Lytechinus pictus: one gene and its partner. The protein of the gene in region 1 interacts with the protein of each later gene in a biochemical or structural test. Links are inferred from orthologs where the notes say so. Each region holds a gene or a part of one and is shown on either strand. Other genes may lie near its edges. The genes, in order: serine/threonine-protein kinase VRK1-like and barrier-to-autointegration factor A-like.

Evidence for each region.
Region 2: of the proteins of serine/threonine-protein kinase VRK1-like (region 1) and barrier-to-autointegration factor A-like, one has a biochemical effect on the other in vitro, tested with the Caenorhabditis elegans proteins (2 studies listed by BioGRID). The link is inferred for Lytechinus pictus from reciprocal best matches to the Caenorhabditis elegans genes vrk-1 and baf-1.

What each region holds. Positions count from the first base shown.
Region 1 is NC_087251.1:3,483,138-3,499,464, reverse strand, and holds the start of serine/threonine-protein kinase VRK1-like, read left to right. Parts: upstream 1-9,501; 5' UTR 9,502-9,665; intron 9,666-9,761; exon of another isoform or gene 9,762-10,026; intron 10,027-10,146; exon of another isoform or gene 10,147-10,289; intron 10,290-10,498; exon of another isoform or gene 10,499-10,749; intron 10,750-16,327. UniProt on the Caenorhabditis elegans protein: Serine/threonine kinase that phosphorylates baf-1, thus regulating the association of baf-1 with chromatin and nuclear membrane proteins during nuclear envelope formation. May act through the egl-17 signaling pathway.
Region 2 is NC_087251.1:42,554,228-42,571,092, forward strand, and holds the start of barrier-to-autointegration factor A-like, read left to right. Parts: upstream 1-10,458; 5' UTR 10,459-10,738; intron 10,739-13,423; 5' UTR 13,424-13,453; coding exon 13,454-13,582; intron 13,583-15,181; coding exon 15,182-15,328; 3' UTR 15,329-16,865. Other genes in the region: uncharacterized protein LOC129258002, read right to left, coding at 6,748-7,713. UniProt on the Caenorhabditis elegans protein: DNA-binding protein which plays an essential role in nuclear envelope formation. Required for normal chromosome segregation during mitosis. Associates with the nuclear lamina via its interaction with LEM domain containing proteins emr-1 and lem-2.

The DNA of each region.
Region 1 (16,327 bases):
GAGGCCTGTACCCAATACTAAACATAACACCTAGTCCTTTCAAAATCATCTAGCCATTTCTCTGGCAGTGCAGCTCTGTATATCACCATACACATAAAGGTAGATTTACATTCAATACAAAACCTCATGAGTACATGACTGTAATATGATTATTTCCTGAAGCCACAATCCCAAAACAAAAGCAACAAGAGTGTCACTATGGCCAGCACATAATACGCCCGCCTGTAACATGGAAAATGGAGCTATTGGTCAAGCAAGTGGAAGGTGGCGACTTCACCTTTGACCTTCTAACCTCAAAATCAATAGAATTGTTGAGATCTATGCTAGTATCATACACACCAAATTATATGAGCCTAGGTTAAGTTCAACTAAAGTTATTGTGTTAACAAGGACTGCAGCAGGGTAAGGTGAAAACATGTCACTGTGATCTTGACCTTTTGACCTCAAAATCAATAGGCTTCCTGGGATCCATGCTAGTATCATACACACCAAATTATATGAGCCTAGGTTAAGTTCAACTAAAGTTATTGTGTTAACAAGGACTTCAGAAAGGTAAGATGAAAACATGTCACTGTGATCTTGACCTTTTGACCTCAAAATCAATAGGCTTCCTGGGATCCATGCTAATATCATACATACCAAATTGTATGAGCCTAGGTTAAGTTAAACTGAAGCTATCGCATTTACAAGGACTGCAGAAGGGCAAGACGAAAATATGTCACTGTGACCTTGACCTATGACCTTTTGACCTCAAAATCAATAGGCTTCCTGGGATCATACAAAACAAATTATATGAGCCTACATGTAGGTACTGAAGTTCATGTTTACAAGGACTGCAGAAGGGTAAGATGAAAACATGTCACTGTGACCTTGACGTTTGACCTTTTGACCTCAAAATCAATAGGCTTCCTGGGATACATGCTTGTATCATACACAACAAATTATATGAGCCTAGGTTACATTAAACTGAAGTTATCATGTTTACAAGGACTGCAGAAGGGTAAGATGAAAACATGTCACTGTGACCTTGACCTTTGACCTTTAGACCTCAAAATCAATAGGCTTCCTGGGATCCATGCTAGTATCATACACACCAAATTATATGAGCCGAGGTTAAGTCAAACACTCTAGGACGGGCATATTAATAAAAGAAGACTGGTAAACATTACAACTTTGATCATTTCTGATAATGATCCTCCATCACAATAATATACCCAAGGGAAATTCACAAAAGATAATGAAGATTGAAGATCTACATTCATAATATGGATATATATGCAGTACATACAAACACATGTAGTTGATAGACCTGCTACTCCCCTTGAAATTTGTCTTGATTCAGGAGGGGATGACTCATGGTGTCCACTTAAATAATGGTTTATCTTGAGTTTGTTCATTCTTCATTGGCCTGCTGCCTTTCCATATTGCAACACCATTGTATGTGTTATTATTCTTTTATTAAAGAAAATTTCATTTGTCAAAAAAAAAATATCAATAGCAATTCCAATACCTACATGTACATGTACATGTATTCATAGACAATTAAACTGACTCATCATGTAGACATGGAGTCATGGACACAACCATTTTCTATTTCAGATAAACTTCTTGCCCTAAAAAAATAATTATACAAATGTGGTAATCAGCACTATGGACTTAAAAAGGACTTTGTTGAACAAGTGGTGATGCAGGTACATGTGCATAGGTAGCTGTTATGAATGCCTAATGTACATACATGGGGTTGCAATTGATTTTAGTCTTATTGGCGATGGAGTAGGTCTCTAATTCCTCATGATCATTCTTTTTTTTACTTTATGTTTATTACTTTCCACCTGTTTGAACTAAAATGCAGAATCAGCCTACACTACAAGCCTAGATAAGCCAAATGCATGTTGCTGAAACTGCATTCCTTCCACAATCTCAATGTTTTAAAAGTTGGTGGTTGTCATTCATTACAAAATTGAAAGTTGATATTTTGTTAAAATGTATGTTCTTTGTGATGTGATGAGAAATGATACACGCCTGTGTCCATGCATGTGGGGTTAATCTAGATGGCCATTAGCCTATATACATGTAGGGCAGAAATGAAGTAACATTGGCAGGATACAGTAATACACAGTGCTAATAATGCAATCAATTGAAGGATAGGCTTATACTGCAATTGGAACTATACATATTCAAGTTCATAATTAGAACTGGAAACCATAGAGGCATACATGCACATGTATGAATTTTAAAGGAAAAACAAAATCACAAACAAAGTTATTCATTTCATGATGTAGGCCTACATGTACATCATGTACATGGGAAATGCATACATTATTAATTTACATTGTCAGGGTGTACATAATGCCATAAATGTACATTTTCAAAATATATGAACTACATGACCCCTATAAGAGTCTACATGCAAATGTACACCATGTGCAGTGCAATCATCTACACATATGTATACAACTATGCCGTTTTCTATCTTTCAGAAGAAATTTGTAATGAGTACATGTAAATTCTGGGTTTGAAAAAATAGAAAATATAACAAACATTCAAGGTGTGGGATACAAATGATGATATTACTCAGTTACTGACAGCTAAGTATACAGTGGTTGATATATGATCCACTCTGTCAAACCCATTAGGGCTAAGGTGGTTACTTCACTTGATCTGTCACTTCGTATCAGGTAACTGCTTGAACATGTAAATTTGGTCACTATATAATAAGACATGCTTCTGGCTATCTCTCACACCATTCCCATGCCAAAGGGGTCTTTGATTATCACAATGTAATTTTAATGCAACATGGAAGACCAAAACTTCATCTCGAGTATTATAATCCGGCAATTATAGGCCTACATGTACATGTATAATGTATTGTAGTCATGATTCATTTTTGTCTCGCCCACCAGAGGTGAATGCGAGACTTAAGGCGACCGCACACCTTACGACTGGTCTGCGACCCGATTTTGGAACAAATCGCATTTTGCTCATTTTCTGAAGATGTGAATGGAACATATCATTTTATTTGAGGTTGAAATTAATTGAAATAATAATATTATAACAATTTTGAAAGATTGCAAGCCCTTATTTCGGAGTAAAGTCCCAATTAGTTTCAAATCGTAGCTAATCGTACGACTGCTATGACGTCATTACGACTAGATATTAAATTCGCTTTTATTCTAAGAAGGATGATAGCATAGTCACAAATTTGATCATAGGTATTCGTACGATGATTTAGAACATTACACAGTAAGATATTCCAAGTCTCAATATTAGCATCAAATTCTACAACAATTTATTCTAAAATCGGGTCGGAGACCAGTCGTAAGGTGTGCGGTCGCCTTTAGGGATCCAAATGTCGTCCGTCACAAACCTTATGACACATACATGTGTAACTCCACAACCGTAAGTCGCTTTTCAACCAAACTTGAATGGTAGATGGACTTGGGGGATCTGCATCTTATGCTGCAGTCGGAGGTCACATGGTAAGGTCAAAGGTAATTTTCAGGTCAACGTTAAAGTTCACATGCAAGACTCTCTTATGACACCTAACTCCGCAACCGTAAGTCACTTTTCAACCAAACTTGGATGGTAGATGGACTTGGGGGACCTGCATGTTATGCTGCAGTCCAGCGAAAAAAATACAAGGGGGCGCTGAGTGATATCGCTCCCGTAAGCTTTGAAATCGTGCTCGCAAACCCATTAGAGAGAGCGATCAGGGGAAAAAAAATCGCTCCTTGAAAAAAACTGGCTCGTAGGTCCGCTGTCTTCCCTTGTGCAGCGTACATAGAGGTGGATAAGAACCGCGCGTGTTGTATTGCGCTATGTGCAATATAATGCAATCGCCGTACTCTAACGTCAGCTTCATGTACGGCGCCATATTGGCAGTTCGGGACTGGGCGCGCTGCTGCTGCTGCTGCGAACCAGCTTTAGCTCGAACGCCATTTATCCTTAGTCCCAAAGTAATTACTGTTGGTAAGAACCCTGTCTAATCTTTGCAAAAGTTTCGATGAATTACCAGTGGATATTTTTCCGTTATTCGAATATCGATATTCATTTTCATAGTCCTGGAATTGCATTGCTATTTTTATTTTAATCACAATGTCAGTCCGAACTCGGGTCCTTTTTTGTTTACCCTCGTTGTTTGTGTAGGCCCACGTATAGCGATACATGTAGTGAAATAGACACCGCGTGCATGTGCGTAGCTGCATAGGCGAATGCATTTGAGTTGCACATCGCATCGGTCACCGGATATTTCTCGGAGTTGCTTCGTGATTTCTGAATTGTTTGCTTGAACAATTCTGTGAAAAAATAATGAACCATGAGTAAAAAACTGTCAGCTAGACGAACACATAAGTTCAGGTAGGAATATGAGGAACAATTTCCCTGTTAATTGGGACTGTACTATAATTAGTATAGATGTAGACTAGACACTTTTAATAGTAAAAGAAATAGTACAGATGGCACATTAAACAAATGGCATTATGGCAATCTTTACTTTTGTTGGTTAAAGAAATAGTACGGATGGCAAGTTAAAACACAACAAACAATACTTCAGATTCAACATGTGTAAAATGTGATTTATTTTTTTTTTAATGGCTCTAGCAAATTCAAAAATTGCTCTCGGAAATTGAAAAACGGCTCCCATAAATTTGTGACCAGTTAGAAAAATGGCTCCTGCAAAAAAAAAAAAGTATTTTTTTCTCTGCTGCAGTCAGAGGTCACATGGTGAGGTCAAATGTCATTTTCAGGTCAACGTTAAAGTTTACATGCAAGACTCTTTTATGACACCTAACTCTGCAACTGTAAGTCACTTTTCAACCAAACTTGGATGGTACATGTAGATGGACTTAGGCGACCTGCATGTTATGCTGCAGTCGGAGGTCACATGGTAAGGTCAAAGATCATTTTCAGGTCAACATTAAAGTTTACGTGCAAGGCTCTTATGACAAGTGTTATTCCATCCCAGTCAGTTCACAATGAAGTTTCGATACAATTCTGTTGCGTGCCCTCGCAAATCACGATATTTCTGGTTATTTTCATAAGTGGGCGAGACACAAAAACATGTAGGTTCAAGTACATGGCTAATTAATCTGAGGTGGACATTTTATAGAAATGGATAATCAAGCACCTCATGAATGCAGTCTTTTATGCATCATTCTCTACACAATTCATTTTTAAAAAATCGTATTTGAAGTTTGAACCATGAAACCCAAAAAATTAAAATACAATGCATTAGACATAGCTGGGTTGTACTTCTTGATGAAATTATACAGTACACATTCATACACCTACATGCTACATGTACATGTACATGGGGTTACCTTTTTCAGTATAATTATTATCTATATAGAGCGTTTTAGCCATACTTTAAATCCGACGAATATCCCATAGGCTCCTGTACAAAATTTACCGTTGAGTTTGAGACCATATTCAACAGTCTAGTGCGCATGCACGAATGCATGAAATATACAACGCGTACAACAATGAATGTAATGCCATGCGCAGCATAGATCACAATGACGTCATCATGAACTACATGTACATGTAAGTCGCATGTCACTGACCAAAATTGATCCTAAAGTGATGACATAATGTGATAAGTGATATGACTTGTTAAATTTCTCCCTCTTTTTTTTGGGGGGGGGGGGGGTTGTATAGATGATATTGGATGGCTTTATTTCATGAAATACCAGAAATATTCCACTTGTTAGAGCCAATCTGCAATTTGTGGAATATTTTCCCACATTCTTGGAAATATTTATGGTATTCCATTCTGAGCCATCCAATATAATGTAATTGTTACAATGCCTATCTCTAATGGTGATTTTGTTATGTTCAGCACTTCCACTTCCAAACTAGAATTCACTGAAGGTGATTAACATAATAAAAAATAAATCTTGTATGTTTTTACTCCAAGTTGAATATTTATACAGACTTTCATGAGCACTGGCTAAAAACTGAAAAATACAGAATGTCTTAAACATCTTTGCCTCAAACCAATTTTATCTAGCTACATGTATCTATCTACATGTACATGTATCTATCCATCCATCCATCTAGACATGTATCTATCTATCTCTATCTATCTATCTATCTATCTCTCTATCTATCTATAGATCTATCTACAGTGTATCTATCTATCTATAGATCTATCTCATAATTTTATGAGAATTGGCTGAAATCTGATGTTCTAGTTTGAACTGCAAGATTTTTACCTTAGTTTTGCGAATAAAACTGTTACCATGGTGACACACTTTCTGACAAACACCCAAAAAAAATGCCCCCCACATCTTTTCATGTACCTCCAGACCAATGTATGAACCAGATTCCATGAGAATTGGTTGAAAACTGAGGAATTCAAACTGCAAGATTTTTACATAATTTTCGCCATATAATACATGTATGTTGCTCCATGGCAACATGATTTCCGACAAACACAAAATATATGTCTTGCACATCTTTACTCCAAGATCAATTTTTGTGCCAAAATTTCATGAGAATTGGTTATCTAATATAAACTGAGGAAGCAGTCCAATGCACAAGATTTGCAATGGACTGACTGCCCGCTGATTCTTTTATACCCTTCAAAGTTTCAAAATTCATTTGGCGTGAGTATAAAAAGCAACAAATGTACAATACATTTCGCCCCTGCAATAAATTTTTCGCAGCTGCAATAAATTTTTCTCTATTTTGAGTATTTTCCCCTATATGTTTAATTTTCTAAATATGTGTATTTTAGTTTCTAGCTTTCTTAGAAACAGTATCCATAATCAAATTTCATCAAAATCTGGTGCAAAAAAAAGAAATTAGATTTTTAAGTTTCGCTCATTTTCAAAAGACAGTTATTTGTACATACATGTATATGTATATGTAACATTGTATGTGCACATGATCACATCCTGGTCGGTATGCAAATGAGGGAACTGATGATGTCACTCACTGTTTCTTTTTATTATTAGATGAAATATCTTAATTTTTCCCTCAACATCATGGTAAAAAAGGTTTGATTCCTCATTTGAAAGACGAGTCCACCCCAACAAACAGTTAATCTGAATAAAAGGAGAAAAATCCAACAAGCGTATCACTGAAAATTTCATCAAATCGAATGCAAAATAAGGTTACTTTTGCTTAATATCACAAAACAGTAATATATGCACATCAAGGCCGGCATGCAAATAAGCAGACTGATGTAGTCACTCACTCACAATTTCTTTGGTATTTTATTATATGAAATATGAAAAATTGTAATTTTCTCCTCACTGTCATGTGAAACAAAATTGAATCCCTCCCTGAACATGTGGAATTACCATTATTTTAACACTTTATGGAATTAAAGTCAAGTTGGTCCTTATTGTCAAATCTGTAAAAATCGAAATATTGTATAATTCAAACAATAAAGACAAAAGAAATAGTGAGTGACATCATAGACTCTCTCATTTGCATATCATGGAGTTGTGCATATAACAGTTTTGTGAAAAATAAGCGAAAATTTAAAATGACATAACTTTTTTATTCTACATCTGATTTTGATGAAATTTGCAGCATTATGCTGGTTTGATTTTACTCTACTGATTTATTAAAATCAACAAATTTCTGGGGTGAACTTGACCTTATGTGGGATTGCCTTAGATTGTGATACAAGAATAAAGGTGAGACTTCCATATTGTCATGTTTATCTTTAAATAATAAAAATAAAGAAATAGTGTTCTAACACCATTGACTCTCACTCTCTCATTTGCATTATAATCAAAGTTGTGCATATTTATAACTGTGTTTGTGAAAATAAGCAAAAATTTAGAACGTCATAACTAGTCCCAGTCATAACTTTCTTATTTCACTTAGGAATTTGATAATTTGTATTTGCTTTATGCTCGATTATTTTTTATGTTGGGGTAGGCTTGCCCTTTATGGAATAGCCAACGTTCTGCTGGCCATTGGGAGGAGGGAAAACCTTTTGTCTACAAATGATAATAAGTTGGCAACAGCTACATCCACCACTGTATTAAGTCATTTTGCCTCCGACGAAGATTCTGCTAGGATCGAAAGCTTAGGCCCCTTTTGACTCTCTAATTTACTCCATTGGCTCTTTTTTTAGATAAGCAGTTTTCAGCAGCTTCTTTTTGCCACTGTATTAAGTACTCTGCCATGTGTGTTCTGTAAAAATCTGTGAAGATAGCACTAGCAGACTATACTGAAGAAGATTACCTCTCAGGGGAATATAACCCAAATAAAATTTGATTTTAGAGGAAAAGAATAGACCTAAATTTGTAAATCATTTCCATTCCCTGAAAGGACATGATGTATGACATATGTTACAAGACTAAAAAAAAAGGAAAAAATCTCACCATTAATCCATGGATTAGGTGGCTCATACTCGCTTGTAACAAGACTCCCTTCAGGAAATCGGACTCTTCGTCCTGATCCCTTTTTTCCTGGGGCTGGACTCACTGTTGTACCATCTTGCAAACCTTCCCTATCTGACTGGCAAGCGTCTCCTTTAACAGTCTTGTCACATGTCTCTGCTGCATGATCCATTCTTGCAGGAGGCATCTCTGTCTCTGATAAAGGATGTTCACTTGTGACTCTACCTGCACTGCTCCCTTCTTTAAACGGAAGTGGTACGACTGTCTGTGCATCAGAACCCCCTGCTAACTCCTCAGAAGACACAATACTGTCCATTTTACTAGTCTTTTGGCAGCAGGCAACCGGCCACTGGTTCAAAAGCTTGATATCTTAGAAATAAGTATTTCCTTTCATTTCAATCAAACATAGTTCTAGAGGTATGAATCCTTAATTACAGCTGTAATTGATTGGTGTTTGAAACTTCATGAACCTGGTATTGTCTGAAACTTAGTCAGCGACTCAGCAGACAACTGTCAAGACTGTTGGAGTATTGACGTTGTTGTGTACCGTGTCACCAGCTAATGTACTCCGTAACATAGACGCAGATGGGTTAAACTCTTTCATTCACATTCAGCAAGCCACTCAGAAGTCAGAGTCAAAGCATACAGTGTACAAATAGTGAGTCAGCAAGCAAAATTTCCGAAGACTTCACTAGGGCCCTACGTCAAAATAAGTTAGATCCAATCTAGTCTAACTATTTGCATCACGTACATGTCTATAATTTACAATTGCCATAAATCGGCTTTCTTAAATTGATTTCCTTTTCTGTAATTAAATAAAATTAGCTTTGTTAGTTTGCTCAGATTCAGATCCTGTCTTGCGAATATTTTCTGACTGAATTCCCTAAATCTAATTAAATTCTGAGCTATAGTATAAACGTTATTTGTTAGAGCAGTGAACAAGATTATCAATTGTCGACATGATGAACATGCCTAACGCCAACAGTAATTTAAAACAGAGAGTCAGAGTAACGACAACGAGTGACGTTTTTAAGTTAGAAAAGGTGCTAAGTGATATTATTATTAAGTCTAGAATTCCGGCAGTCTAGTACATGTATCTACAATAGTACAAGTTGAAACACGGCCAGTCAAGCTTAGGCTTAGCTGATTTTTTTGTGGCAGTGTCACTGTGTCAGTGATTGGAGTTGGAACTTTGGCCCTGGCTTACTTAATCAATGTTGTTGATCAGCGGCAGACACAATCCGGCCACACGCACGGGGAACACATACAGTACAAATAATACGGTACCGGTACAATGTCAATACAGTGAGTAATACAGCCTGAAATAAGCAATGAGCCGGACCTGCGCCAACAACAAGTTGAACAACGACATGCATTCAGGGGCAGGGCCAGGGCATCGGCAGTGCAGCAGGTGATCGTAAGGCCGAGGTCCTCGGGAAGCAGGCGGCGTCTACGGTCTGGGGTGTCCGCTGCTGAGTGTCACTCCCAGCCCAGTGCAGGCGCAGGCCCAGGCAGCAGAGCAGAGTTGAATTCAGGCTGGCGTTCGGAAGCTAACTCGGACATGCACTCGCTACGCCTACGGCTACGGCTACGCCGCCGTTAGAAAGTCTAGCATTGAATGAAGGGACCTCTATCTACGCTAGTTAAAGTTTAACATAAATTTTCTGTAAATGCCAGGTAGGCCTACGCCTAAAACTGCTGCCTAAGCCAGACTTAAGTCTAGACATGTCAGACTATTCTCTATAATGCTTCCAATTCCTCTTCTCGATCGAGTCTCGACGTTAACAAACGCAGTTAATTACGATAAATGGAGATACCGGTATTTGTCCGGTTACCTATTTGTCCCGGTCTAGACTCTTTTTCCGAAACTTTTGTTCGGTCTCATGATTTTTCAAAGTGGATAAGCCTGCTACGACTTATTATATTTGAGTAAGAACGACTGCAACAGCTTTCAAGACTAAGCCATATTTTCGCTGAGTTAACTCTGTGATATAATACCGGGGTACCTACATTATTTACAAAATTTTGTTGAACCCGGAACCAGCAAATCAAGTGGCGCGCTCGCCGTTTTTGAAAGTACGAGTGTCTTACGATAACGGCCGTAGATTTGCCCCGAAACTCTGGCGACGTTTACCTTCGAGCCGCGCTGGAGAAGTACAACGGTACGATACTCGTGCGGCGCGGCAAACAAAAAGATCAAGGCCTAAAGGCTAAAGCAGAAACAACCAGCTAGCGGCATATTATTATTAACGTTAGATTCTTTTGATGAGCGAGCATAAGTCGAGGTGATATAGCCTTTACTTAATAATAGGGTACAACCTGAAGTCTGAACCAGGCCACGATCAACGCCACGCCACGGTACCGGTAAGATATCGACCATTGTAATAATGTAAGACAAAAATATTAAAACTTAAATTTTAAAAGTAAACCATGTAGGGGCCTATGTATTTTATGACTTATTATATGTAAACCTTGATTTGAAGTTGATTGAAGAATTATTGATTTTGCAGGTCAAATCAGAGTAGGCATCAAAGAGCCTTTAGTTTAGACTTTGTACATGTGATCAAACTCTCATTCAGATAATGTATGTTACTATGTAAGTCACCCTACTTCAGTATTTATTCTCCAAACCTGAGATTTTCAACCTATGCACTAACATGATGGCAATGCAGATGCTACTTACGAGATTGTGATAGTGGAATTTTACTGCGAATTACTTTACATTTAGCTTAATTTTGGTCGAGTTTTGAGAATGAGACATATCCTTTGAAGCTTGAGTTTGATGTGTGGGACATTTACAGGCTTAACTTGTTACAGTTAAAATATTTCCAGGCCTTACTTTAATAGGAGTGAAGCTGATTAAGTAATTTTGTCTGAGATATTCAGTTGCTAATAATAGTAACCAGCTTTACAATATAGTCTCAGAGATGGAGGATAGACTTAAATTGATAATGATAGAGGAAGGGTGAAGTCAGCGAAGTAGTGGTCAGTGGTGGCAGCCCTGAGAAACTTTCCCAGAGTGCTCCTTTGACAGGATCAATAATTCAATAGTTCCTAGTATCAGTAGTTTGGACACAAAATCTGAAAGAATAAGAAAGGAACTCTATCAGCATGATCAGTATCAGGACTTGAAAAGAGCAAAACTAGGAAAAACTCAACTAAAACAAATGACGTTTCTCATCAAAGTGAATCAGCCTCTTTCTGTATGTAGTAAAATTACCATTCATAGATACCAACTCTGACTGTATAGAATGTGAACGTTGTGAAGGATGGTTTTGCATGAATTGTAGCGGATTATCATCTTCTGATTTCTGATTATTTCAAGAAGTTAGAGCTGCACACTGGTTTTGTGCTCAATGCGAATCAAGAGCAATTGAACTGAAGCCGTTAAAACCGATCAAGTTGTTTAAGAAAAATACTGTAGCAAATTCTTAGGCGAAGCAAATGACAGAATTTCAAAACTGGAGTTAGAAAGTGTAAAGTGGAGCTCAGTGCAGGATCACTGTTATGAATTAGACCATAAACTCCAGATTTTGACTGAATCGGTCAGTGAAGTACAAGCTGATCTCTCTCAAGGTTTGATGTCAGCTTCAGCCAGTGCTAAGAGATATAGTCCAGATGATCTGAAACTGTCGCAATCTGATGTTGTGTCTATTTGTAAAGGCTGCATGGAGGAAGAGAGAGAAAAGGCTCGGAGGCGAAATAATGTGATACTACAGGGGATACCAGAAGTAGATTCGGATGATTCGTCTACAAGAAAGGATCAAGATACTGGTTTTGTAAATGACATTCTAAAGCAGCTTGACATACTGTCTAATGCTCAGTATGTAGGCTATGTCACACCCTAGATGCTTATTTCAGAGGAAGATACAATGATAGATGAGAAACTTTGTTCAGGACCATCAGATTTTCGACTTTAAAGAGGATCAAGATGTGAAGACAAATATAACTTGTTTAAGGACATTATTGACAAATTAACCGAGGAGTTTGTACCCAAGTCAACTGCATCTTCAACTACTATTTAAAGCAGAACCATTATGGATGAACTCTGAAATCAAATCTGCAATCAAGAGGAAGCACAAGGCATGGAATGTTCATCAAAGTCAAAGGTCGGCTCAATCTAGATGGGTTTTCAATCGTATCAGAAATGAGACTACAAGAGTTATCAGTCAAGCCAAAAGGAAGTTTGAGTCCAAGTTGATCTCAGAATTGAAGACTAATTCCAAGAGTTTCTGGAAATATGTTCAAAGTAAACTCAAAATAAAGCACGACATCAGTCTTCTTTCCAGACCTGATGGATCTTTGACGTCTGATGATGAGGAGAAGGCAGTACTTTTGAACAATTTTTTCAGCTCTGTGTTTACGAAGGAGGATTTGATGACCATGCCAGATATTTCTGACAGAAGTTATGCCGAACCTTTGACATCTATCAACATTGACACTGAAAATGTCCTTTAAGTGTTACAATCATTGGACCAATCCAAATCTCCAGGCCCAGATAGGGTACACATCAAAGTACTCAAGGAACTCGGTGAACATGTCACCCCAATACTCTCAAATATGTTCAATGCATCTCTGGATGAAGGAAAAGTTCCATCTAAGTGGAAGCTAGCAGATGTAGTTCCATTGCACAAGAAGGGAGACAAGACAGCTCCAGGAAATTACCGTCCAGTTAGTTTGACAAGTGTGGTGAGCAAAATAATGGAAACCATGGTGAGGGAAGAAATAGTGCAGCATATGGATGAAAATAGTCTGTGGTCAGAGCACCAACATGGTTTTCGCAAAGGAAGATCTTGTTCATCTCAACTTCTAGAAGTGATTGAAGATTGGAATAACATTCTGGATAATGGTGGTAACGTGGACTGCATTTACCTCGACTACCAAAAGGCTTTCGACAGTGTTCCCCATGATAGACTGCTGAAGAAACTGCATGCTTATTAAGCCTGAGTCATATCGATTATTTTGAAAAACGGTGTTCGACAGCTTTAATTCGATCGAACATCGATGCATCGAATTTTAAAGGCGGGAAAATCGAGTCAATTTTTTTTGTTCCGGCCGTCGCGTCGATGCGCTAAGCACGCACTGCATGCGCTAGCGCTGGCATGGCCGGGTGAGCGTTGCACAAGCAGATGACAGAGCAAAGTTTGTTTGTATTTTCCATGATCACAAAACACAAAAAAAGGCCGGGGACCAATGCAGAATTCTTCCCAAAATATCTTCAACAATGATATTTGCAGATGACAACATATAAGTTTAAAATGAAACAATATTAAAGCCATGAATCACGCAGAGTCGATCCGAATGATTTTTGGTCAACTAACATTTGCAGTCCAGACTCGCATCGCACACACCTAGCCCCGTCCGCAGCCCCGTACACTCACTCTCCCGAAACGACAGGCGTGCTTGCCAGCAACCAGCAGAGAGCACTGTAACTTGCCTGAGATCGTGTAGTTGGATCCAAAATGAGCTACAAATTGATGGGAATAATTATAATACGTAATTTTCTCTGGATGGTCATTTGAATTGGTATTCAATGCTGATATAACGAATGTGAGGAAAGATTGTAGAATATGAGTTCTGACGATGTTCCAGAATTAATCCTGATATGATAATCCATTTTTATTTCACAGACACAAGAGCATGCGATCGAAATAAATACAAATGACTCGGATAGAGCTCTAAATTCATTTAAATTATTATTGGATGTTAAATAATTACGATTTACATGTAGGCAATAAGATTTGATGGCCATACTAAAAATATTAACGATGTCAGCGAAGTATGTTATGTTCATATGGAAGTATTAATATTGGCATTATTTTTATTTTATTCCATCTAGACGTCTCCGAGAAAAGAAGCACAATGCGCATGCGCGTTCGATGACGTATGACACATTTTCCATTCATGAAATCAGAGCCCAAAGTTGGGCACAAACTAACTTCAAATTGATGGAAAAAAATAACAAACGCAATTTTCTCTGTTTTGTCATGTACATGTATAATGTTATTATATGGTGATATTACGATCTTGAAAAGAGTTTCTGCATGTTGACAATGTGCGAGAATCAATCCTGACGTGATAATTTTTTTTTTAGACAAGTGCACTCACTCAAGTCGATCGTCATGTGATGTCCGTCATTGAAAATTAAAACGAAATACAAAGTTTCACATCAAGCTCTAAATGCATATTAATGATTATCATATATAAATTATTGTTAAATATTACGATTAAATAATATTCTATGGTCATGATATTAATATTGTTCATGAGTGCAAGGTATATTTTATGTTGGTCTCGGCAACTTTCTGGTTTGATTAAAGCACAGTACTGCGCATGCACGATCGATGGCGATGACTTCCATTCATGAATTCATTGTGCATAAATTATCTCGGCACAAGCAGACGAGTAAGAATAGGCATCATAATTGCACAATCGGTTTCATTTTGGGGGAATATAAATCAAGTAAGTAGTAGTCAAGTTGGACATTACTGTTTATTTTAATGATTGTGTGAACCAAACGAATCGGCCGGCCGACGTTTTTTTTTTTTTTTTTTTTTTTTTTCCGATGCACCGATTTTGCAAAATCTGCACCGGCGCTCGATGACATCGATCGAACACCGATTTTAAAATCGATTCAACTCGGGCTTAATGCTTATGGTATCCAAGGGAAGATTCTGAATTGGATTAAAGCATTTATCAAATAGGAGCCAGAGAGTAAATGTCAATGGATCCTTTTCACATCATGTACCTGTTACCAGTGGAATTCCTCAAGGGAGCGTGCTCAGCCCCGTTCTCTTCATTATTTTTATTAATGATCTCCCCGAGGTTATATCTGGTAAATCATCGACAGTTAAAATGTTTGCAGATGATACCAAACTCTACTCTTCTGTCAACAATAATAATGATGGTGAGATGTTGCAGCAAGACTTGGACAGTCTTTCAAATTGGTCCAAAACATGGCAACTCCCCTTTAATACATCAAAATGTAAAGTGATGCACCTAGGTAGGAAAAGTTCAGACAGGATTTATAAAGTGCAGAAAGATGGTATGATTTCCGACATTGCATCAGTATCAGAGGAGAAGGACTTGGGAGTTACTTTCGATGATAAGCTCAAGTTTAATCAGCAAGTCGGAAGAGTTGTTGCTGCAGAAAATAGGAAACTAGGAATGATCAGACGCACCTTCTCATCTTTTGATAAAGAAGGATTCCTACTTCTGTACAAGTCACTAATAAGGCCTGTCTTAGAATATTCCTCATGTGTATGGCATCCTATCTACAAAAAAGATATTGAGAAGCTTGAAAAGGTGCAACGAAGAGCCACCAAACTTCTGGCTTCATTAAGGGACCTCAGCTACCCTGCACGCCTCCAAAGCATGAAACTGCCTTCTTTTGCCTATAGTAGACACCGATCAGACATGTTGCAGATCTTCAAATTAGTGACTGGTATTGAAGACTTTTGTGCAGACCAATTCTTTACACTGTCTAGATAGTAGATCAAAGAGAACACATGGACACAATTTGAAAATTCTGAAGAATCGGGTTTGTTCAAAGCTGAGACAAGGTGTATTCTCTCAGAGAGTTGTCACACAATGGAACAATCTACCAGATGAAGTTGTGAACAGTCGAACTGTCAACATGTTCAAATCACGTTTGGAAAAGGTGTTTAAAAGGTCCCTGAACATGTACAATCCAGATGAAAATTTTCTTTGTCCATGCTCTACCCATGCCACTCAACGCCAAATAAGTTTTAGGTACCAACGTTTGGATACAGAGGGGCAAATAAGTTGTGTATAACTTTATGCCTACTTCCAAGGTAAATAGATTATATCATAACCTTGTTCATATAATGAGTGGCCTAGATCTAGATCTGGGGCCCGTTTCTCAACACCTGGACAAGTTAGTCATATCATTATCCACCAACCAATTAACCACGGAGTTGGTTCCATCCAATCTTACTAAACCCGTT
Region 2 (16,865 bases), about 39 Mb from region 1:
CTCACTATTTCTTTGATTTTTATTGCTTGAATTATACAATATTTAATTTTTTACAGATTTGACAAGAAGGACCAAATTGACAGAGACATAAATTATAGAACCTTGCTAATTCTACATGTTCAGGGAGTTGTTTCACTTGACAATGAGGAAAAAATTAGAATATTTCAGAATACAAAAGAAATAGTGAGTGGATGACGTCACCAGTCTCCTCATTTGCATACTGAACAAGATGTGCATATAACTGTTTTTTTTTATCAAGCGAAACTTTAGAATGTCATAACTTTCGTATTTTACTTCCGATTTTGATGAAATTTTCAGTGTTATGCTTGTTGCATTTATTTATCTCTTTTTCTTTAAATCAACTTTTTGTTGGGGTGGACTTGTCTTGTTCTTTAACCCCGTCATTCCAACAAATCCAATTTGTTTTAACTTTTTTTGAAACTGTTAAAACCTTTTAAACAACTTGTTTAAAAATTTTAAACAATATTTGTTAGATTGACGGGCTAAACAACGTACTTAAAATTTTAAACAGCGTTTTTTACAGTGTGGAAAAGACACAGAAGTGTATGACCGTTTTGTCGGCCGTATATTGCTGCCCTCTACGTTGGTTGGTTGCAAGATGCCTGCAATGCACAACAAATCAATGACAAGTTTCAAAGAAAACGCGGGAGGAGGAAGTTCCCTAATTCATCTTTGCTAAACTCTACATTAACCTTCTTCAGGATCAGGTTTGTTAATTAATCGTATTCAAAGAAAAGTAGGGAATCTAATCGATGCCGATTGTATACATTTTAACAATTTTTATTACTTTCCATGACCATGATGATGACAGATTCTTGATTGGAAAATTCGACATCGACTCTGCGCGAGTCAGCTCGGTCCCAGACGTACACTTTCAAGTTAGTTGCCCATGCTGTCTGTAGTGGTTTCTCGAGACTTGAGTTGAGTTGAATGAAATGAAACCACCCTCCTCCTCATCTGAGTCCAAGGATTCCTAGCTCCTGGCCAGGGGCAGGGCCAGTGTCATGGTCAAGTTGGCCTTGTTCATGGTTATTCTACTTTTTCATGGTTAAAAGGCTACAGTAATAATATTGACTTGTGCATCACTACTGCATGCATGTTGCCAGGAAAAAATCATTTAGATTTACTAACGAGTAACGTATGCTTACTCTCGGCCACGGAGCTAGGGGCGCTAGTGTAGTTTCGCACCTCCCCGTTTAATCTCACCCTAAATAATTCACAACCTAAAATACTTGCATCTGATCCTCCAAAGTCCAGTAGAAGTTGAATATTTGCCGTTTTGACACTTTTTTTTACAAAGTTTTACACCTATTTCGGAATCACTCGGTCGCTTGAAGCTCAGCGCTGCACATAAGCAGTCGGTACGCGTACAGTACGTACCACCTAGTGAAGTGCAAGAAGAGCGAGTTTTTCTATGGTATCTTCAAAAAGATTTTTCCCCCTCTTTCAGCTTGCACCAAGTATTACGGTAGTGGTTGTGCAGAGTGGTTGATGTTTGTTGTGTGAAGGTGTGTGTGGGGTGTGCGTGTGTGTGCTTGTTTGAATGAAATAAGAAATGTGAAAAATGTGAATACACGTAGATTTAGCGATGAAATAAGAAATAATAATGTAGAGCCTTGTTTTGAACTCTAGGTCAGAGAACTTTCCTTCAGTTTACAATTGTATGCTATGTTGATTTCATGCTAGTAGATTACATTTTTCAATTTTTCACATGCCGTACCATCTCCATCCATACCACCTGGGACATGCAATGTACATTTCATCCTTTTGTTTGCATGCGCATACACTCATGGGCGGAAATCCCAGGGGGGGGGGGGGACAGGGGGGACGTGTCTCCCCTACTCAAAATAGTAGAGGGGACACAATATAAAATGTCCCCCTACTATTTTTGGTCTTTTATGATGGTAAGAAATACATCATTATAAATCGAAATAAAACATGTATTTTGGGACGAGATGACCTTACTTTGGCGATGATAACCTTTTTTTTTGCTTGTCAAATTTTGGTTTTTAAAAAGTGCTCTGTAAAAATGTCAGTTTTATGGTCTGAACTTGCGCTGCGCTCGCAAATTTTGATTTATCAGGTACCTATTATTTTCGTGTATTCCATAAAGTTTTCAAAATATCCCTTTTCAGGTCTGATTGCCAAGACGTATCAGCTAGCGGGCTGCACGCTCGCATTTCGATTGGCGAGTTATATAAATGTTTCAATATAGATTATACAACAAACTACTTAAAATCCCCTTTTCATGACAGTTTATAAAAAATTTTAGCTCGCGATTTGCGCTCGCATTAATGGTTAAAAATATATTAACTGATGCATCCTATTCATAATCACAAAAGTGAAATGTCCAGTTTTTATGCCATTATATCATCAGATTTCGCGCGCTCGCATTTTTTGATCGTTGAAATATGTAACGCCTTCATGGTAAGTGCAAGCAATCCTTAACAGGTACCTTTTCAACAGGTACCAGTTCAAAACGTATATAAAAATTGTGAACATGTCCAAAAAAATTCAGATCGCGCTTCGCGCTCGCATTATTAATACTCACCCTTTTCAGGATATACAAAACATGAATAGAGTGTCTCGTTCAGTAAATATTATAGGACTAAATCTCGAAATTTTCCGCTCGCGCTACGCGCTCGCATTAATTGATTACTTATATACCTATTCTGCTTGAGTTACAAAAAGTGCTTAGAATTTCCATTCTTTAGGTGAACAAGTCCAAAAAAAATCAGCTCGCGCTTTGCGCTCGCATTATTTGATTGTTAAATGCTACTTTAACAGGTATCTTTTCCATCAGTTCATTTCTGCTCGCGCTTTGCGTTTGTAGTAATTATTAAGTTGCATACACATCTTTTTAGGATAACAAACATTGCCCAGAATCAGTTCAAATTTTAGGAAAAAAATACATAACATTTCAAAAAAAAATTAGCTCGCGGTTCGCGCTCGCATCATATAAATAAGGATTATGATATTATATATTTATTTATAAGAATAAAGCTAAGAAGTGACTAATGAGGACTACCCCTTCAAAGAAACAAACAAAAATCATCTTCGAGCTGCCAATCGGGGAAAATATGGCTGAAACAAATTACCGCCCCCCCCCCCCTATTGGCGAAGGCTGGATCCGCCCCTGTGTCCCCCCTACCTTTTGGGAGAGATTTCCGCCCCTGAAGGTGGATATGGATCGAACTTTAAAAAAGAGCTAAAATTTTCATTATTATTACTTTGAGTTTTGACATAGGACCGGGACATCCTTACGACATGTCATGAAAATGATGACTATCTTCCTATTCCTCTTGCTAAGCGCGAGATGAAACAAAAGTGACAATTTAATTATTAAATTAATATCATATTTATTAATGCCTAATGAGAACGCGAAATCTGATGATATTATGGCATAAAAACTGGACATTTCACCTTTGTAATCATGAATAGGATGCATCAGTTAATATATTTTTAACCATTAATGCGAGCGCAAATCACGAGCTAGAATTTTTTATAAACTGTCATGAAAAGGGGATTTTAAGTAGTTTGTTGTATAATCTATATTGAAACATTTATATAACTCGCCAATCGAAATGCGAGCGTGCAGCCAGCTAGCTGATACGTCTTGGCAATCAGACCTGAAAAGGGATATTTTGAAAACTTTATGGAATACACGAAAATAATAGGTACCTGATAAATCAAAATTTGCGAGCACGCAGCGCAAGCAGCAAATGTTGATAAAATTATTCAGACCATATAACTGACATTTTTACAGAGCACTTTTTAAAAATAAATTTGTAAATCACACAAAATAATGAAAGTTCGATTTCCGAGGTGAAATATGTTTTGTATATTGACTCCCAAACCTGATATTTGAGCTCCATATTGAACAAGATATGTAAATCACCTAACAGGCAATGCGAGCGCGAAGCGCGAGCGAAAATTTTATATAGTGGCACGAAAGATTCTTTTTATTTTCCAAGTCTTCCCCTCATCTTATTTTATGCATTCGTCGTCCTTCTCTTCCTTTTCTCCTCTCTTTTCCCTCCTTTTTTCCTTTTTTCTTTCCCTTTTTTTCTTGTTTTGCTCCGCCAATAGGGGGGGGGGGGGGCCTCGGCCCCCCTGGATCCGCCTATGGGGACAAGGGGCGGGAAAATTTGACAAGCAAAAAAAAAGGTTATCATCCCCACAGTACGGTCATCTCGTCTAAACTCGTCCCAAAATACATGTTTTATTTCGATTTAGAATGATGTATTTCTTACCATCATAAAAGACAAAAAATAGTAGGGGGGACATTTGATATTGTGTCCCCCCCCCCCTTTCCCCCTTGGGATTTCCGCCCATGCATACACTCACTACATGCAGGGAGGTGGTCATATACGTGTATGTCATTACTCTCAGTCTCGCACACTAACTGCACCTGATATCCATTTAGGTTTACCCTTCGTATAACTTTGATGATTTCTGATTGGTTCCTTATACTCATCCATGCTTATGTTCATCTATGATTGGTTGATTATATACAAATGAATATTTATGTTTGTGCAGTCGGATGGAAAAACAATAAAAAGTGGCAGAGAGTGCCAAGGCCCTGGGAACAATTTTTTTTCACCGGGGTGCTGAGATTAATATACATGTATATGAAGGGCGGATCCAGGATTTGTGAAGGGGGGGGGGGGTGGCGGAGACCAGCTTCCCTACCTGTTGAGAAACGTGGGCATGAATCAGTACTTGAGCGTAAAGATGTCACAAACAGCCGCTCAAGAGCTGATGAGCGGGTGGGGGGGGGGGGCGTGGTAAGCATTAAAAAAAAATTTTAACCGTCAGTTCGTAATGTTTTCTGCAAAAGTGACCAATTAGAAATTCTGTGGGGGAGGGCAGGGTGGGAAAACAATTTTTTAAAAATTGGTAATGATTTTTTTTAAAGGGGGTCCAGCGGGTTTTTAAGGTCTAAAAAGGGACTTGGGCGCAGCCGCGGCCGATTCGGCCCCCCTCTTAACAGCCTGAACTCCTCAAATCAGCCTGAAAGGGGGAGGGGGCGAATCGCGGCCGATTCGCCCCCCCCCCCGATCCGCCCCTGTATATATATATATATATATATATATATATATATATATATATATATATATATATATATATATATATATATATATATAACAACGCATTTTGCAGGGGGTTGCTGTGCATCCCCTGAAAAATCTGCAGCACCCCCATCACCCCCGCTTCCCAGGGCCCTGGAGAGAGTCATATGCTCAGAGAGGGAGAGAGAGAGAGGCCACATAGCCGTTGCAACCTGAGCTAGAGAGTTGTTGGACTAATTTTTATTCGTCTCCAAAGTATAACACCTATGTAGTGAACCCAAAACGCATAAACCATCAAAGTAATCCTTTACAATAATTAAAAAACACACGAAAACAAAATGTTTATTAGGGCCTTTGGTATATTAAAAAAATAAAGAGAAAGAAATAGAGGAGAGAGGGGGCGGAGAGAGAGAGGCGGGAGAGAGAGAGAAGTGACAAAGAGAGGAAAAAAGACAGGGAAAGAATAAGGAGAAAGGACGGGGGAAAGAGTAAAAAAATGTAAATACAAAGATGGCACTAAAGAGAGAAAAAAATAAAACAATAGATTTACAAAATAGAAAATAGCCTTAAAAGGAAAGAACGAAAAGATATATAGATAGAAAAAGAAGAAAGATAAATTTGACAAGGGAAGAGAAAAAAGATAAAAAGATAAAATGGAAAGGAAGAAAGAATAGAGAGAGAGTGATTAGAAAGAAAGAAAAAGAAAGAAAAATAAGGAAAAAGAAGAGAGGGGTTTATTAAAATAGAAAGAAAGAAAAGATGGATAGGAAGGAAAGAAAGAGAAAGAAAAGATGGATAGGAAGGAAAGAAAGAGAAAGATAGATAGGAAAGAAAGAAAGATACTTAAAAAGAAAGGGAAGTTATATGCTTCTGTATGTGTGGATGTAAAGGTGTGTTTGTGTATGTGCGACATCATCATCCCCCCCCCCCCCCAGGTCTGAGGACGTGTCTACGCCACTGCAATCATTCTGTCTTCTAAACATACACTTTCGAAATTCACATTTCAATCGTAGCCGCTAATACATTTACACTCACAAAACAAACACATTCATCAGTGATCAGCACACATCTACAAATATTGCAAATCAAACGTTTAAATGAAATAATGACTGCAAACAAAAGACAAAATAACACAAAATATATTTGTCTCATTGATTTTAGAAAATATATATTATTGATGAACCTTCATGGAAGGAATATATAAACTTTGAGCAACAATATGCTGGAAGGAATTATACAGATGGTTCTAATAGAAGAAAAAAAATATAGATCATGTCATGAAGAAAACAATATGTAACTTTAAGACGTATACTGTAACATAAACATAGGTTTTTAAAAAATGATACGTAACTAATTACATTGAGCAAACTTTAACCGAAAACATGTTGTAATGCCCGACCCTTAAAAATGATACATGAAATTATGTCTACAACTCGTGTCCTTTCTGAAGCTGATATCAAAATTAAAACTGATCAAGTACTTCGCAGAATGAACTGCGGATCACCTAATAACAATGTCAATAATTATTGTCATAATGATACTAAAAAAGTAATAACAAAATATTGGTATTTGGAAAATCATAACTGGCAATATCAATAATAGTAAAAAATAAAATAAAAATGATTAAATAGGAAGACGAGCATGTAAGATAAAGTTAATTGACGGGGTACAAGTCTGTGGCAATCTGTGTCCACAAATGAAAGAGTGGACTTGCCGAAAAGCGCTGTGACCACATGAACTCACAAAGGTAGTCGCCTATCATGGCTCTGTTGGTTGGACCTTGTTGTGCCTTGAACTTCGCCTTCGCTCTCTGCCACATTGACTCGACTCTGTTGGTAGTCACACCGGTGTTCGGATCAACGAAGTTGAGTGTGTGGTTTACCACCCCGTGTTGGTATTGTCCCGGCAAGTTTGGTAGGTTGTTGTATGCTCTCCACATATCGGTCCAGATAATGCTGCCGGGTGCCACCCATTGTTGGATGATGGGCAGCAGGGTAGCCGCGTCCCGCTGCTGGACTTCGACCAGAAAGCCTATCTTGCGGGCAGGTTCGTAGCCACCGAGGACCCACTTTTCTGGTCGGGCGCGTCCTACGTTGTTTTTCCTTCTCGCAAAAAGAGACTCATCAATCTCAACTAGGACACCCGGACCCCCGATCTGCTGCTGGTGGTTTTGGAAGTACTGGACGCAGATGTCGCGAAAAAACTGCATCCAGTCCACCGTCGTTTTGTTCGAGACTCCAACTTCCTTCATGATGATGTCCTGAGGCAGCCCTCGAGCACGACCGCAGTTGGTTGACCATACGTAGGAAAGGGCAACTATCTGCCAGAGTTGAAGATGGCTCCTTTCAAAGAAGCTGTCCTTTCTGATGTTCACCGTCTTCCGACAGGGATTTGCGCAACGCCATGTGATGCCATCAACGGCCCTGTTATATGCCCCTTCCCGACATGGACGACCGCAGGTAGGACAGTCCATATGTGTTGCAAGAAGTCCATGGTTTCGGCACCAGAGAACCATGCCGTCGATGTCATATTTGAATCTATGACCAATCTCGGTCAGACTGATTCCCTCAAACTCTGCCTGGTCAGGCAAATTGCCGCCCTGAGGCTGAGCAGCAGCCATGATAAAAATTCAACTCGAGTTTTGACGCCAAAGATGTTTGGTCAACGACTGATCTGACACTGGGTTTTCTCGAGGGTTTTTATTTGGAAGTGGGGGGGGGGGGGGTCATTTTTATCATTCATCTTTGGAGTTTCTCTGATGATAACATTTTTGCCGCAATCAAAAGGTATCCCGCTTCATTCTCACGCCCCTGGGGGCCACTCTATATACAACGCTGTAACCACGCGCGTGCACAAATACGCGGAATAAGTGGCATTTTTTCGGGCAGGATCATTCATCTTTGGAGTTTCTCTGATGATAACATTTTTGCCGCAATCAAAAGGTATCCCGCTTCATTCTCACGCTCCTGGGGGCCACTCTATATACAACGCTGTAACCACGCGCGTGCACAAATACGCGGAATAAGTGGCATTTTTTCGGGCAGGATCATTCATCTTTGGAGTTTCTCTGATGATAACATTTTTGCCGCAATCAAAAGGTATCCCGCTTCATTCTCACGCCCCTGGGGGCCACTCTATATACAACGCTGTAACCACGCGCGTGCACAAATACGCGGAATAAGTGGCATTTTTTCGGGCAGGATCCCTTTAAGGGTATCAAAATCGCTCATTTAAGAGAAAAGGGTTTTTCAGAGCAAATTCCGCGCTAAGGGTTATCTTTTCCCTATCTGAAGCAAAATAAAAATGTTCCTATATAATTGATAATTAAAAGTGATTTTCACTCCTTTTTCACTGACTTACAATTTATATACGGTCGCATCATATATATCTATATTTTTTACAACAATGCAAATTCTTCTATAGTTCTATCATGCAAAGTTTTTAGGTACTATGTAGAAACAATTTTACCGTGCACAAGGTTGGGGGGGGGGGGGGTGAGGGCGAAGATAGTAGCTTTATCGGTGGGAGCAAAGCATTTTTTTCCTTCTTAGCTTCAGTGGGTCCTTTCCAAAGATATAAAAAGTAATATAGGCACTAGAATGTAATAATGTTGTACTATAACGATCTGTAAAGAGCTGTGCCCAAAATGCAAACTTTCTATATACCAAAATGTAAAATGTCTCACTCGGTCTCTACGCTACCTCACATAGTAATATAATATTATGAAGTGCCCCTTTTGGACCCCCTCACAAGTAGAATACCAAAGTAAAATGTATAAAAATTGAAGGAAATAATGTGCTTTCACGACAGGGGGAGGGGAATTAGGGGCATGGTTTCCAGGTTATCTGCAGGGAGTAAGGGTCGATACATATCGGAGCTACATTTTGGGGATTCTTTGAGATGACCCACCCCCACCCCCATGCGCGTATCCAGTATTTTATACCCCTGGGGGCCCGACCAGATTTTGGGCGCCCTTAGGTAAAATTTGGAAAATGCCGCCCCCCCCCCCCCACATGCATGATCAAAGTAAACTATATCTCGACACATTTTGTTCAAATTATAAAAAGATTTAACCCTAAAAAGGCAGAGTGATGTTTGTTTGGTTTTTATTTTCGGGGGGGGGGGGTGTTCTCAGACATGGAGCGACAAACTGTTCTGAAACTTGGCATGTAGTGTACATAGAACATTATATATTAAATAAACCTATAAGGTCAAACGTCTCTCTGAGCACATGACTCTCTCCAGGGCCCTTGGAAGCGGGGGTGATAGGGGTGCTGCAGATTTTTCAGGGGATGCACAGCAACCCCCTGCAAAATGTGTTGTATATATATACAGGGGCGGATCCAGGGGGGGGGGGCGATTCGGCCGCGCCCCCTCCCCCTTTCAGGATGATTTGAGGAGTTCAGGCTGTTTAGAGGGGGCCGAATCGGCCGCGGCTGCGCCCAAGTCCCTTTTTTAGACCTTAAAAACCCGCTGGACCCCCCTTAAAAAAAAATCATTACTAATTTAAAAAAAATTGTTTTCCCACCCTGCCCTCCCCTACTGACAGAATTTCTAATTGGTCACTTTTGCAGAAAACATTACGAAATGACGGTTAAAAATTATTTTTTTTATGCTTACCACCCCCCCCCCCCCACCCGCTCATCAGCTCTTGAGCGGCTGGTTGCGACCTCTTTACGCTCAAGTACTGATTCATGCCCACGTTTCTCAACAGGTAGGGAAGCTGGTCTCCGCCACCTCCCCCCCCTTCACAAATCCTGGATCCGCCCTTGATATACATGTATATTAATCTCAGCACCCCGGTGAAAAAAAAATTGTTCCCAGGGCCTTGGCACTCTCTGCCACTTTTTATTGTTTTTCCATCCGACTGCACAAACATAAATATTCATTTGTATATAATCAACCAATCATAGATGAACATAAGCATGGATGAGTATAAGGAACCAATCAGAAATCATCAAAGTTATACGAAGGGTAAACCTAAACGGATATCAGGTGCAGTTAGTGTGCGAGACTGAGAGTAATGACATACACGTAATATGATCACCTCCCTGCATGTAGTGAGTGTATGCGCATGCAAACAAAAGGATGAAATGTACATTGCATGTCCCAGGTGGTATGGATGGAGATGGTACGGCATGTGAAAAATTGAAAAATGTAATCTACTAGCATGAAATCAACATAGCATACAATTGTAAACTGAAGGAAAGTTCTCTGACCTAGAGTTCAAAACAAGGCTCTACATTATTATTTCTTATTTCATCGCTAAATCTACGTGTATTCACATTTTTCACATTTCTTATTTCATTCAAACAAGCACACACACGCACACCCCACACACACCTTCACACAACAAACATCAACCACTCTGCACAACCACTACCGTAATACTTGGTGCAAGCTGAAAGAGGGGGAAAAATCTTTTTGAAGATACCATAGAAAAACTCGCTCTTCTTGCACTTCACTAGGTGGTACGTACTGTACGCGTACCGACTGCTTATGTGCAGCGCTGAGCTTCAAGCGACCGAGTGATTCCGAAATAGGTGTAAAACTTTGTAAAAAAAAGTGTCAAAACGGCAAATATTCAACTTCTACTGGACTTTGGAGGATCAGATGCAAGTATTTTAGGTTGTGAATTATTTAGGGTGAGATTAAACGGGGAGGTGCGAAACTACACTAGCGCCGAGCTAGGCCCTAGGGATTCCTTCCCATTCATCTGCGTGTACCACCAAAAAACCTGAAACTTTCACCCCCGAGATTTCTACTTTCCTTTTAGTTTTAAAAGATCAAGAGTTCCGGCGCAGTGTGCGGCCGCTTAAGTTAACAATGCTTAGGTTAGGGTTTTTCCATCCTGTAACTAGTGTAACTATTTTGCACAAATTTAATCCATACCATAGACCTACATATCATATAAAAAGGACTGATGGTACTTACTATTTTTATCGCAAAAATTGGCCGATAGCAATCGTGTGACGGTGGTGGTCAAGATTGACCACCACTTCTGACCGCGATAGCATTCTTCTGTGTGCGGCCACCCTGTCTCTAGTGCGGTTTCCGATGTACAATTCCTATGGCGCTCCCGCAAGCTCTGTGAGGCAGCTGCAATTCACCTCTAAACGGCGCGCGAATGTTGCTGAGTGCGCAGTTCCATTGCAAACGCATGTGAAAATAGCGAGCATACACACAAAGCCGCACTTAGTTAGGCCTTAGGGCGCTACATTTTGAGGTGTTGTCGTATTTTTCATGTTTTTTATTATTTTTTCGATCTCAGCATTGACTTCCGGAAAGAAATGGCGGCCGACATCGGCTCGCGAAAGTACTAGTTTTTACCGAGGGGCGAGGACATGTTTTCAAAATCCACGAACATCGAGAAAACCGTGAAAAATCCACTTTTTTATACCCCTTGTTTCTTAACTATGAACCGACGGTGATATTTTTTTATGCGAGATATGGTGATTTACTTAAGGAAATTTCACTTTTTATTTGAGATTTTGCCCATGTCGCCGGATGATTTTGTAGTGTGGGAGTGAGTTAGTGAATATGTACTGTACATGTTTAGAGTGTGTTGGTGATTTCAGTGGAATATTGTTGAGTCTGCTGAATGGCCGCACACCAACCCCCTGCCGCGCACAGATGCAGTTACTCTAGCCCTTAATCATGTAGATGGGATACAACTTCATTTCGGACATTTCTACAATATCAATTTCATTTTTAAACAAGAATTCATTCAAAAAACGAGAAAAATGTTATGCTTGAAAACTTGCCACCGTGTTAACGTCACCATCTTGATTTCATTGTCTTTCGCTTGGCGACAGCATGCAAATTGCGCGATTTGCGTGCTGTCACCACTCGCCAAGCGAAAGACAAGGTCTACTCAAAGGTCATTTCATCATCATGATGATCCTCATCTGGTACGGGATGAAGGCGCGAGCCTGTAACTCCCGGTCGCTTCTTGTACTATTTGTAGGATTAATATTGCTGAAAATTACTACTTCATGAGCTTGTGTGAGGAGTCATGGAAGCTCAAAGTGCTTATTTTGCCAAAATATATCAATACGGTACTTCTTTTAAATTTGTCTGTTGTTGGCATTTGTATTAACTTAAGTATTTAGGGTCAATGAACTTAGACCATGTTGGGGGAATCAATATCAAAATCAATATTCCACCAACTGGACCATGTACACGTGGAAATCCTGATAAGTTCCAAATCCCATATGCCAGAACACAAATATATCAAAAGACATTCTTTCCTGATGCTATCAGAATATGGAACTCGCTCCCAGCAAAGATAGTCCACAGCACCTCCCTCGCGTCTTTCAAGCAGGAGGTGCAGCAAATGAGGCTTCGTTAAGGCCTCTTCTGTTTTTAGCCGCACATAGTTTTGTAGAGATTTTTACTTGCACTATTCATCTGGGCACTTGACAAGCACAACTAGTACGATAATATGCCAATGGCAGTCTGTACTTGACAAGAAGAAGAAGAACTTAAAAAGTATATGGATCTAGTTTCATTAAACTTGGCTATGATGTTAATGTCGTATTACTGAATATCCTGCCTGAGGGGAGGCCAATCGAATATATTGCTGTACACACGCGTGACCAAACAAACGCGTTTAAAGGGTTTTTTTTTTTCAGTTTTGGACATGGGCTGCGCGTGCACTCGTTAAGGGTATCAAAAACACAGATTTTCAAAAAAGGGATAGTTTTGAAAGACTGGTAAATGGTCAATCGCAGGGTCAAATGTATTTAGGGTACGTTTTTTTTTAAGGACTAGCCAAACGTGTTTAAGGTATGTTTTTTTCCCAAGCTTTTTCCCCGGGGTCATATTCTGGCGACAACTTGTTTAGGGGCCAAAATGTGCAAATAAAGCCCACAAAAACTTGTTTAGGTGGTTATTTTGCACACAGAAAAACTTGTTCAGGGGGTATATGGAAATGATTTGGCCACGTGTGTGTACAGCAATATATTTAACTGCCCCCCCCCCCCGGGTTTCAGGTCACATGACCAAGGTCAAAGGTTATTTAGGGTCAATGAACTCTGGCCAAGTTTTGGGTATTTGTGGAATTACCAATTTAACTTTGAAAGTTTATGGATCTGGTTGTGAATAATTATTTTAAAGTAGTTTTCAAAGTCAGCACTGCTGCTATATTGATCGCATGATGCAGGTGAGACTGCCAGAGGTGCTCCACTTGTTTATTACAAGTATTTACAACCCTGCCAGGCTAGCTTAGTATTTTTCCTTTCCAGTCATCCATGTGACTCACTCCTTTGGGAATTATCTTAAGTGATTTTTCTTTAAATTTTTTTTTTATATATCTTCCCCTGCATTAGATACCAGATTGGTAGTGAATACATTGCAGCATGGCCCAATCAACATCCCAGAAACATAGAGACTTTGTGGCAGAGCCAATGGGAGAGAAATCGGTGCAGGAAATGGCTGGCATCGGACCTGCCATTGGTGGTAGACTTAGTGAGAAAGGCTTTGATAAGGTAACAATAAATTTGTGATTTTTATAGAAGAATGGGGACTAGGGTAATTTAAACAGAATGAAGGTGCTGCAATAGTGACACAGTATTGGTTACATGTACTTTAACTGCAGATTTGTAACATTTATTTTATTTTATTTGAATACAAAACATGGAAACTTTAGACATGACAAAATACAACACAGTCTTCATGCAGCATAGTTCTACTGTATATTCTGCACTGTCTAATTTATCAACCCACTTCAACCATCGAGAATCTAACTTGGAAATTCTCTGATCTGACCAGGGAAATCTCCATGATCTAACCAAATCACAACCTTAAGCATTATCAGAAGGGCAGGAAATGTAACACCAGTGCTTGACAGTCAATTCCAAGTTTGATAATGAGAAATGCATACTGATGGAAATAATAGCTTAGTTCATGCCTGTTTCATGCCCGATTCAAACAGCTGCATTCTTGTTCTTATTACTATATTTATTATTAAGTTACTGAGGTTTAATTGATTTACCTAGTTTTAATTTTTTTAAATGTCAATTTCCACTGGTATGATAACATGCTAACAACAATGCAGAAATACAGTGTACAGTAGTGAAGTAAATTTGGAATGGTCTGAAATGCACCACTGTTACATAATTAGAGAATATGTATTCAAAACCACTAAGTGTTGCCAATGAAATTTTCAAAGAATTTAGAAAATGAAATGAGCTCTCTAATTATGTGGTCGCTGTATCAAAGCCCCATGTTAGCAAAGTCATGAGGATATAACGAGTTGCAGCTAAACATAAGTTTTTGTTGGAAGGCAACAATTTTAAAAATTATTTTAAGAAATTAACATAAAAATAATTATTACATAGTTACATCGGTTAACCTATGGCATCATATATTATGTCTCCATGGCCCATAATCTGAAGTCAGGTCTAACTCTGTGTTAAAATTATGGGAAGCCAAAAATTGAATACGGTAAATGCATTTACAAAATCTATTTCATATCTTTACTTGACACTTTCCACATTTTTAATGGTAAAGAGAACTATTTCAAAAATAATTTGTTCCAGTCTCTTATTGTATGATTTGAGTATCGAATGAGCTGACAAACTGAACTTAGACTGCAAGAGATACCTGTCACAATTTGCTATCCATAGTTTAACAACAACTTTAGACCAGAGTTTGAATTCAACTCAAGTTTAGAATGCAGGCTCATGAGTTTTTCTTTGCAGCTATGGACAGTTCTGCGATTTGGAGCTGTGAGGCACTTTCATAAGCATGGGTGGGATGATTTTTCTCCCTGTGTAAAAAGCTATGAAAAATGTTGTCAAGCCTTATCATGTCTGAAAGACCTTTTTCTCTGTTCAAATCAAATCAGTATGTTGTTAGGGTGTCACGCACACAGTACTTGTCATTTCATACATAGTTATTTTCTATGACTTTGAGTGATTTTTTGTCTTTATGATAACCATCTTTATTCACCACTTCTCTCTTCTGTGGTTTTTCCATCTTTTTCTCCCTCATTCCTTTTATTTTCCCCCTTTCACTCTCTCTTTCTTGTACTGTCTCTTTCTCTCTCCTTTTCTTTCCCTCTTTTCCTTCCCCTTTCATTACAGGCCTATGTTATCCTTGGGCAGTTCTTGGTCCTAAAGAAAGACGAAGAACTATTCATTGATTGGCTGAAGGACGAAGGAGGAGCCAACAAGAAACAGGCGGGAGATTGCTATAATTGTTTGAAGGATTGGTGCGATGCCTTTTTGTGATCTCATTTACCCAGTTTATGTTTTAGGATCAGAGCTTAAAAGGGGGCCAACCGGTGCACATAAAAGCAGCATGATGTAAAAGGAGCAAACTACTGTGGGACGCCACCACAGGAATTTTAATTTTTCAAAGGAGGCACTTTGTGTGGTAAGATATTAAAGTTTGATAAAACAATGGATATAATGACTAATAACTGACCATCAAATATTTCATTTACTGTACCCATTTTAGGGGAAAATTGCAATGAGTTTCGGGAGGATTTTGCTCCTGAAATGCTAAAAAAATCCCTGGAAAATAATAATAAAAAAGAGCCTAGGGAAGTCCTCCTTCACTGCAAAATCCAATGTTTCAGATTTCATTTAATTTATGAAAATAGACCCTGACCAAATTAATATGTAGGCATTGAAATCCCCAGGCATAAGAGCAAGTTTTTGTTTTTAAAGATGAACCTGCTATCATGTAGTACTTTATTTATCAATAAGGAAAGTTCTTCAGTAAGTTGCCAAATCAATACCATGGTCATTCGAGTTTTGGCTTGCTGACACAACTCATTGCACATTCTCATTTTTTCTCTGCTCCCTTGGGAGTACATGTAAGTGTGGTGCTTACATTATCAAGAAAACTGCATTGATTTTCAATCTTACTTGGGGGCTCTTTCATGAAAGTATTTGCATGTTATGATTGAATGCCTTTATGCTCAAGTGGAAGCCTTTCTTGCGCTAAGTGATAGAATGTATCTGACTTTACATGTTCCAGGTACATGAAAAATTGTAACTTTACGAACAATTTTATGAAACACGAGTCCCAAGTATCAACTTTTTGAAGAGTAGCAAATTAAGATTTATGGGGAAACATCGGGCTGAAGTTATCTATATCTAAATAAATAGAGTAAAATTCACAGAGCAAAATGCTGAAAATTTCATCAAAATCGGATAACAAATATCGAAGTTATTGAAATTTAAAATTCAGCAATATTTTGTAAAAACAGTTATAAGTACGTCATCATGATCATTAGGTGGGCTGATGTCACATCCCCACTTTCCTTTTTCTTATGTTATTACATAAAATCATAATTGTTTCATTTTTTCATACATGTGTAAATAATGTGTCTCCATTATATTGCAGCAATAAATAACTAATGCACTTAATCAGTTGTCAATCCAATTGTTTTAGTTCGTGGTAGAAAAATTTTGAATGAACCTAATTTCATATAATAAAATACAAAAGAACAAGTGGGGATATCACATGATCAGTTTGCTCATTGAATATTCATGGAGACATGCCTAGAACCGTTTCACCGGAATAATGCAAATTTTAAAATTCAATAACTTTGTTATTTGTTATCTGATTTGGATCAAATTTTCAGCGTTTTGCTCAGTGAATTTTACTCTGTTTATTGAGATATGAATATCTCCAGCCTGGAGCATCCCTTTAAGCATATAGAAAAAAAAAATCCCTTTAAGCATGACCACAGTGCAGGATTATTTGATGTGTTCAGATTCATATGATATAGAATGTGCCACCCAACTTCTTGTAAAG